Linked DNA regions of Ovis aries. The protein of the gene in region 2 binds, or shares a complex with, the protein of the main gene of each other region. Links are inferred from orthologs where the notes say so. Each region holds a gene or a part of one and is shown on either strand. Other genes may lie near its edges. The genes, in order: SOCS6 and KIT.

What was found.
Region 1: the proteins of KIT (region 2) and SOCS6 are in contact, whole or in part, in a crystal structure (PDB 2VIF), measured with the Homo sapiens proteins. The link is inferred for Ovis aries from reciprocal best matches to the Homo sapiens genes KIT and SOCS6. Residues at the interface, in NP_000213.1 of Homo sapiens: Asn566, Asn567, Tyr568, Val569, Tyr570, Ile571, Asp572, Pro573, Thr574; in NP_004223.2 of Homo sapiens: Arg391, Glu395, Arg409, Asp410, Ser411, Ser412, Asp413, Ser419, Phe422, Thr428, Leu429, His430, Thr431, Arg432, Phe442, Tyr443, Glu444, Gln445, Val448, His460, Asp464, Ala469, Phe470, Cys471, Tyr472, Ser473, Arg474, Ser475, Arg476, Thr482.

What each region holds. Positions count from the first base shown.
Region 1 is NC_056076.1:7,272,744-7,277,122, forward strand, and holds the start of SOCS6 (suppressor of cytokine signaling 6), read right to left. Parts: upstream 3,004-4,379; 5' UTR 2,908-3,003; intron 2,650-2,907; exon of another isoform or gene 2,449-2,649; intron 1-2,448. UniProt on the Homo sapiens protein: SOCS family proteins form part of a classical negative feedback system that regulates cytokine signal transduction.
Region 2 is NC_056059.1:70,935,016-70,938,825, reverse strand, and holds part of KIT (mast/stem cell growth factor receptor Kit), read right to left. Parts: intron 3,593-3,810; coding exon 3,488-3,592; intron 3,404-3,487; coding exon 3,293-3,403; intron 1,951-3,292; coding exon 1,800-1,950; intron 1-1,799. UniProt on the Homo sapiens protein: Tyrosine-protein kinase that acts as a cell-surface receptor for the cytokine KITLG/SCF and plays an essential role in the regulation of cell survival and proliferation, hematopoiesis, stem cell maintenance, gametogenesis, mast cell development, migration and function, and in melanogenesis.

The DNA.
Region 1 (4,379 bases), on a different chromosome or scaffold from region 2:
AGACATTCCCTTCTCCAAGGAATCTTCCCAACCCAGGGATTGAACCTAGGTCTCCTGCATTGTGGGCAGATTCTTTACCATCTGAGCAACCAGGGATGCCTCATACTTCAACATATTTGTTGAATACTTGACCTCATACGTCAACATATTTGTATGTATCTTGTGTGTGTGCATGACCCATTTTGCACGACTGCATATTTATGAGCGAATAATAACAGTATTGACACAAACTCAGAAATGATCCTGACAGTTTCCTTTTTTTTGGAGTACTGTATTAGTCGCTCAGTGTGTCCAACTCTTTGCGATCCCATGGACAGTAGCCCACCAGACTACTGAGATTTCCCAGCCAAGAACACTGGAGTGGGTTGCCATTTTCTTCTCCAGGGGATCTTCCCAACCCAGGGATCAAACCCGGATCTTCCACATTGCAGGCGGAATCTTTACCATCTGAGCCACCAGGGAAGCTACATTATAACTCTGAAATAAGATCACAGGATTACTTCCATGAGCCAAATAAAAGGAAATACTAGTAAAAAAAAAACAGCTTCTTGAAAACTGATCACAAGGGAGAAAATTACCAGAGTTTTCTCTAAAGAGTGATGGTTACCTAGCAAGACAGGCTTTAAGAAGATGCTTGCTTCTGCTCCCTAAAAAGAGGGCCATTAAAAGAAGCCTGAGATGATTAGGAATCCAGTCAGCACAGCTGAGTTTTCCTCCCAGGGCACTGCCCAGGTTGGCTGTAGCCCAGGTCAATGGCACCTCAACCCCTGCTGGGCCACTCCCCGACAAGGTGCTACAGGGGAGGGTGTCAGGTGACACCCAAGGGTGTGCCCCTGGGTCCTGGGGAGGCCATGTCTAAGGCCTGCCCACCTTCCCAGTAAGAGAAGGGAAAGGGGCAGTGCCAGGTACTTCCCACCAATTCAGGAGGTATTTAAAGATCACAAGGGGAAAAAGTTCTTCAAAAGAGATACTGAAGGAAGGCCCCCAAAAGGTAAAGGTTTCGGTGAATAAGATGGGGGATCCTATCCAGACCGGTAGAAAGTACTTGTCAGGTCACAGGTGAGCTCTTCTAAGAATCCTAGTTAAGTCCAAGGCCAGTCTGACAGCCTCCCCAAAGGCAACAAGAAACCCTGAGGGACCCTGTCGGAACCAAAGGGTTGGTCACATATTCTGCTTGGAGCAGGCGTGGCCTCTGAAACTTAACCATATCCATGCTACCTGATGCAGAAATACTGAGGAATAAGACCGCACCGGAAGCAGATCACAGGCTGTTTCCAGGTTTTCTCTGTGAAACTTGATAAACAGCGCCATTCATGTTTTTAAATAAAACATTCCCCACAGCACTACATATTCCACTGAACACTCATTCATTCAAGTAAGCTAAGTAGATTTCATGTTGTGATATTTGTTGCTTTAACCAGAAAAAGAAAAAAAAAAGTCAAGATCACTGCACACCTACTGCGGCTGGGAACACCTCGGCCGTTTCATCTTAAAGGAGAGGGCAGTTTACTTTTGTTTGATGACAGACATGTGTGCAGCCAAGGACCGCAGTCCATGAAGAACGTATTTGGGCAACGTTTTATGTCTCATTCACATCGTAACTGTGATTACTACGTTCTCCATCCTCATCCACAGTAAAGTGGCAGGTCTCCTTTTCCAGGGCAGACGTTTCAAGAAAACATTCGTGGAACTGAATCCAACATTATTATATTTCACTACCGGAAGCCTGAGGTCTGTCCCCATATTCCCACCTGGCCCTGAGTTCCAAAAAGTGGGGCTGGGAACCCCGAATTCCACATGCCGACTAAACGTGAAGTTGGCCTGCAGACGACCGCACACGTTCCAAGTTCTGGGCCGGGACCTGCCCCGGGACAAATGTCAATAGATGTGACCCAGAAGGGAGGCACCAAGGTGTCCGCGAAGCGAACCGAACACCGCGACCCGGCCCGGACCCGAGGGCGGGCTCACGTCCTCCCGTGCCCACGGCCACGAGGGTCCGGCGGCGCGTCCCCGCGCGGAGCCCACCGGGGTCCCGGCCACGCCGCGGCCCGGGCCTCCCGCGCGCGCCCGCCGGCCCCGGGGTCCGAGCGCGCAGGCCCCGCGCCGCCGCCCCAGGCCTCGCCGAGCCCCGGCCTCTCCCTGCCGGGCTGCGGGCAACAAAGGCAGCGGCCAGGGCCCGGCGCGCGCGGCGAAGGGCCAGAGGCCGCGGGGTCGGGCCGGCGCGCGCGGCGGAAGCAGGCCTCGGGCCTCCCCAGCCCGGCGCCCCGGCCCGGCTTCCCGGACGCCGCTCCCCGCCGGCCCGAAGCCCGCCCGCGGACCCGCCGAGGCCCTGGCCGCTCCCCGGGCCGCCCGCGCCGGAGCAGCCCCGCGCCGCCCCGCGGAGCCGCGGCGCCCCCGGCGCCCGAGGGGAGCGGGCGGGCGGCCCAGCCCCGCGCCGCAGACGCTCACCCGGCGGCGGCCGCTCCGCGTCCTCGCCCCGCGCCGGCGCGACTGCCGCGCTCGGCCCTGCTCGCCCGCAACTCCGCCTCCCGCCGCCTTCCTCCTCCTCTTCCTCCCGCCTCGCCGCCTCCTCCAGGAGCGGCGCGCCGGCCGCCGGCCCGAGAGGAGCCGCCGCCGAGGAGCCGAGCGGGCCGCCCCGCGCCCACCTCTGGGCCCGCGGCGCAGGCAGGCGTCGGCGCGGGGGGCGGGCCGGCGGGGCGGGGCGGGGCCGGGGCCGGTGCGCGCCGGGGTCCGGGCGCCCGCACCCGCCCTCCGGGCGCCCCCGGCCCCTGCGCGCCCGCCCGCCCGCTCATCCGCCGCCTTTGCAGCCTCGCCTCCGCGGCGGCCGGGCGGACGTGGGAAGGACCGTGTCCTCGGCCCTCGGGCGCCGGCCCCGGCCTCGTCCCCTGCGGTCGAGGGTCCGCTTACCTGGCGCAGTGACCGGGACCACCCGGCCCCCGCGGACGGCGGGACAGAGTGGCCGAGCGCGCGCGCCCGAGCCGGGCCCTTCCCACACCTTTCTCTAGCTTAACCGTAAGATGTGCTGATTAAAAGAAAAACTTACTCCTTGTTTCAGCCCATCTGCTTTTCCCTTTAGTCCTTGTTAGTGGGGTTTTTTTATGCAGAAATAGTTTATTGTTTGTGCCGCCGAGTTCCAAGGGAGCGTGATGTTAAGTTGCGTGTTGGTAACTTGACTCACTTTTTGGGAACCAAACTCTGTGGATTCTTTGCTACCTGCATATAGAATTAACAGCAAATTGGACTTTTGTCAACGAGAAGCATTTTTTATTTTTTATTTCTCTTTTCATTCGAAGAAAAGTAGTTAAAGATAAGTATCATTAAAGTCTAACGAGAATTAGTGTTGGCTTTGAAAGTTGTATTTCTTGAATAGCATGGAGCTTTTACAAAGGAAACAAGGCTAGGGGGAGAAAGTCTTAAAGTTTTTCCGAAGTTATACCTCGGTAAAGCTGTTAGTTTTTTAAAAGTTCAAGTAATTGATCTTAATTCTTATGAATGTTGAATATGTAATTCTCATCTAAACACCAAATCTAGATTAATAATTTAAAAATTACATTGTCAGGCGATTCAGCTGGTTTGTATGACTGAATAGTATATATATATAAGGTTGATGTCATCTGTTACATGTGATTCACCAGACCGCTGTCGTCTTTAGCTCTCATTTCAATTTGTTGTTAAATTCCTGCAGGGTCTTCCCTGGTGGTCCACTGGTTAAGACTCCCTGCTTGCATTGCAAGGGGTGCAGATTTCATCCGTGATCTGCGAACTAATAGCCCCACATGCCCAGAGAGAGGCCAAAAAATAAGTAAAAATAAACTCCTATTATTATTGTTAATCTGACTTAAATGCAACTCAGTTCTCAGATGTCCAATCACAGTGAATGTTGACTGAAATAGACCAGTCAGGTTAGTGAAAATAGTACTTATTAATTAGAGATGAAACAGGACAGAGGATGAGATGGTTGGATGGCATCACCGACTCAATGGACATGAGTTTGAACAAACCCTGAGAAAGAGTGAAGGACAGGGAAGCCTGCTGCAGTCCACGAGGTCGAGAAGAGTCAGACACGACTGAGCCACTGAACAACAACAGAGATGAAACAAACTTTTCAACCCACCCCCCTTGTGGTAAGCCCGTTCAGAAAGAGAAGACGTGGGACAGACTGGAAATCGGACTGGTGTTTCCTTAGCTGGTCTGAAGAAGGCCAGCAGTTGGAGGCCAGAGAGCAGGGCTGATGAGCATGAAGGTGGCAGTGGGCTGGCTGCTTCTCCAGAAGACAGGATCAAGACCCCGGCTTCTGAGTCTGGCAGAGCTGGTGTGGCGTCTCAGCCTTGACAATTCATACAGAGGTGTGAGCTTAACCAAGCTTCTCAGTTGTAACC
Region 2 (3,810 bases):
ATGAAGAAAATCTTGTTCAGTAAGATATGAGTTTTTAATATTCAACATTGGGGTCTAATCCCTAAGAATTAGATGGCCTTTTTTTTTGTATTCAACTGTAGAGGGGACTCTGGTTAGAAATGTCCTATCTCTCGACACCAGGGATTTAATGAGAAACAGAGAACCAAAACCATTATCCCACATCACTTCTAACTCTCTAAATTAGCCTCAAGAGAGATAAAATGAAAGAGACAAAGAACCGGCGCTCCTGAGATGTGTTATTAGTGGGGGAAGACAGGGATCGTTAACATATAGCGACTGATGGAAGATAGTTTAAAAAAGCCAAGTTTGGTTCAGATAAACACCAATAATTTGGATGATTTTCTGAACCATCTGGACCTCTTGAATCTGTAACATTTGGCTGGAGAGTCTTCAAGATTTCTAGTACTTCCTGCTTCTGATTAGCATAGAAACACCATGACAACAATCTCCTTCAGAGCGTGCTGGTGGTTCCAATCCCATATGGGATCCCAAAGCACAAAAAACACTACACAGGATTGAACTATTTAGGCCATTATTTCAGAAAATCAAAAAATATGTGTGGGGCCAAGGTTTTAGAAATAAGGCAAAGTGGTTCATTTATTCATATAAAGAGCATATGTGCTAGAGAAACAACCAAAGGTGGTTTGGTTTATATTGTATTTTACTGCCACTTGACACCACTCAAAGTTTACAGGATTGAAAAAAAATAAAAAGCTTCATCTAGGGTTTAAAACTTCAACCAGAGGTACAGAAAAACACTTTTATGAGGTAATTGCCCATCAACCATATTTAAAGAGGTCTCCTTCAGGGCCTGGGGTTAAGTTCAGGAGACAAAGTCTTGCCTTCTCAAAATATAGGGGATATGGTAAATAAAAAGGAAAGAGGAAACCCATCACACAACTGCAGAGATAAAATGTACAAGGGATTAGACATGATGACTATGATTCTGTAGGGCTGCATAAATCTAGAAAATCTTAAATGGTGGATCTTAAACACTTGGAAAGAAAAGGCAAAGATGGCAGAGAATTCTATTCTGATTGTAAACTACGCAACTTCTTAAAGGAACTTGAAACTCTTGACATATTCAAATTCAGAATGGTATCAAGGATAAAAGAGATGAAAATAAGGTGCAGAATTTTAAAAAAATATGCTACAGTAGTTATGCCTCTTGATAACCTAAGTTAAGGAAAAAGAGGGCAAGGAATACAGAAATAATTCGGAGGTAGATGGTGAGAAACCTTGGTGCAGAGAGCTATTTGGAGCTCTCTGCCATTCTGTTAAAGGTTTTAAAGGAATTCACTGTGACAACTTGGCAGCCTTCCCCATGTTCCCTATAAACAGTGTGTCTCACTCTAAAGATGCATATAGGACCCTATCGTATAGTATAAAGAGAATCACACAAGAAAGAACCACGGTAAGAGAAACAGGTACAGAAATTATATAGGACCCTGGCTCAACAGTATAAAGAGAATGACCAACAGGAAAGAACCATTCTAAGAGAAACAGGTACAGAATTCATTCAACTAAACAGAACTAAAGTTCAGAGAACACTAAAGATACATTTTTAAAAAGCAACAAAAATTTAAGTTCAAGACTATTTGAATCTCTAAAAACAGTTTGAACTTTCTAAACCGTTAATCACATTTAAATGATTTAATAATTCTGATTTTGCACCCCAAAGTACCTCAGTTCACTTTTTTAAAGAATCAGCCTTGATTGCAAACCCTTATGACCCCATGAACTGCCTGTCAACAGCTATTTATGTCAATCAGTCTTACCAGGAAGACTCCTTTGAATGAAGAAGGTTCTTATAAAGTGCCACTTCGGCATGATCTTCCTGCTTTGAGCAAATAAATGAATCACGTTTTCTTCTCAAAAAATTCAGAAGATCACCATAGCAACAATATTCTGTAATGACCAGGGTGGGCCCTATGAGCATTTAAGAGAAAATTAGAGGGAGGTGAAATATACAGACCATCCAGTCTTCCATAAAAATACTCAAGGGCGATCACAGTCATTCACATTCAGGGTCAATGCTAAGCCTACCAAGCACGAGTACAATCCTATCTATGAACATTGCTTAGCAGAACTTGGGATTCTGTGGAGTAAAACCAAACAACCTTTGTAACCTGAATTTCTGCCTGATTAGGGGTCAGGCATGACTGCTGGTTTTAGACAGGAGTTATAGCCTTCATCATTAGTTATCAAGCTTCCTATGTGAGTCCTCTGATTCACTTCTGTTTACAGAGAGGGCTTCACGCCTTTTGTAATGTCATTATGGAAATGATGATGAGCATAAGCACAAACGGCAGCATAATAGGAAAACCAACCACTGGAACCACCAGCTGAGACTGGAAGGTGCGGAGAAACCCTGAAAAGGAGGGCCATCACGTGTGTTCGGGGCCCTATCAGTTGAACTTCTGTTTTCTTTCCCTGTTGTAAAAGCCTAAAACACTATAGCTCTGAAGTTATTTAACAACTAACTAACTTGGGCAAAAATCTCTCATGAACAATTCATGATGTCAGTGAAGCAACATTTATGGGGGCTGTTTTAAGAAATTACAGAAAGCTGTCAACTTGACCGTGGATCTCTCCAGATCTTGAGGAATGGCTCATTTTAATACATCTTTGTTCCTTTGGACCAAAATGTTTTCTGGAAACATCGTAGAAAGTCTTGATGGGAGGACTAATGAATGCTTCAAAACTGGAAATTTCTTTTTTTATCGAAGTGAAGTCTTTGCTCTTTTGGTGTAGATTTGAGGGCTGGTAGGCTTGGAGGCCTATTTTCAATGATAGCATGCACATGAACATTAACTCTTTAGTGGCTAAAGAGTCATCCAGCCTAAATAAAAGCTCGCAAAATAAAAGAAAAGCTTTCTGGAGGAGATGAGACATTCTCAAGATATTCAAGAGGTCAATGTTGGTGTGATATACACGACAGTAACTAGGTACGTCCTCCTGGGTGTTCTACCCCACGATGATAAACACAAAATATAATTCTTAAGAACAAGACACATGAACCTGGGTCTCCTACACTGCAGGCAGATTCTTTATTGTCTGAGCCACCAGAGAAGCCCCATATATTCTTATAAACATTAAAATATACATTCTTAACATTCAATGGGGTTGGGGGGAATCCAGCAAAAGGTTAAACATTTGGGTCAAAATCCTGCAATGAGCTTATAATCAAGCATTGTCAAAAATCATATCAAAATCTCCCACCTTTTGATAATTTGACCAATTACAAGAGGCAGGTTGGCCATGTCCTTACCTCCAATGGTGCATGCTCCCAGAAGATTCACAATATTCATATGATTACCGAGGTAACTCAAGACTTTGAGTTCAGACATTAGGGCTTCTCGTTCTGTTAAATGGGCGCTTGCTAAAATTAAAAACATCTTATTTTAGAAAAAAGCAAACCTGGGACACTGACGGTGAGCACCCATAACAGCCTGCAGGAACTTACGTTTGAGCATCTTGACAGCAACAGTCATGGCTGCATCCGATTTAATTAAGCCGTAAGCAGTGGCCTCAACGACTTTCCCAAAGGCGCCAGCACCCAAGGTTTTCCCTGTAGGAAGGAAGACAAGGGAGTGAGTGGTGGTGGTGGAACTGAAGAAACATTTGTGTCATTTCAAAACCAATAAGGGAATTAGGGACAAATGTGTCAAGATACACTTCCCTAAAGTGTACCTGATACTAAATCTACCAAAGGCAGCGAAATTGCAGGAAAAACCTTATTGTTTCAGGTGAAATAAAATAAAGAAAGCTATTGGGATTCCCTAAAGG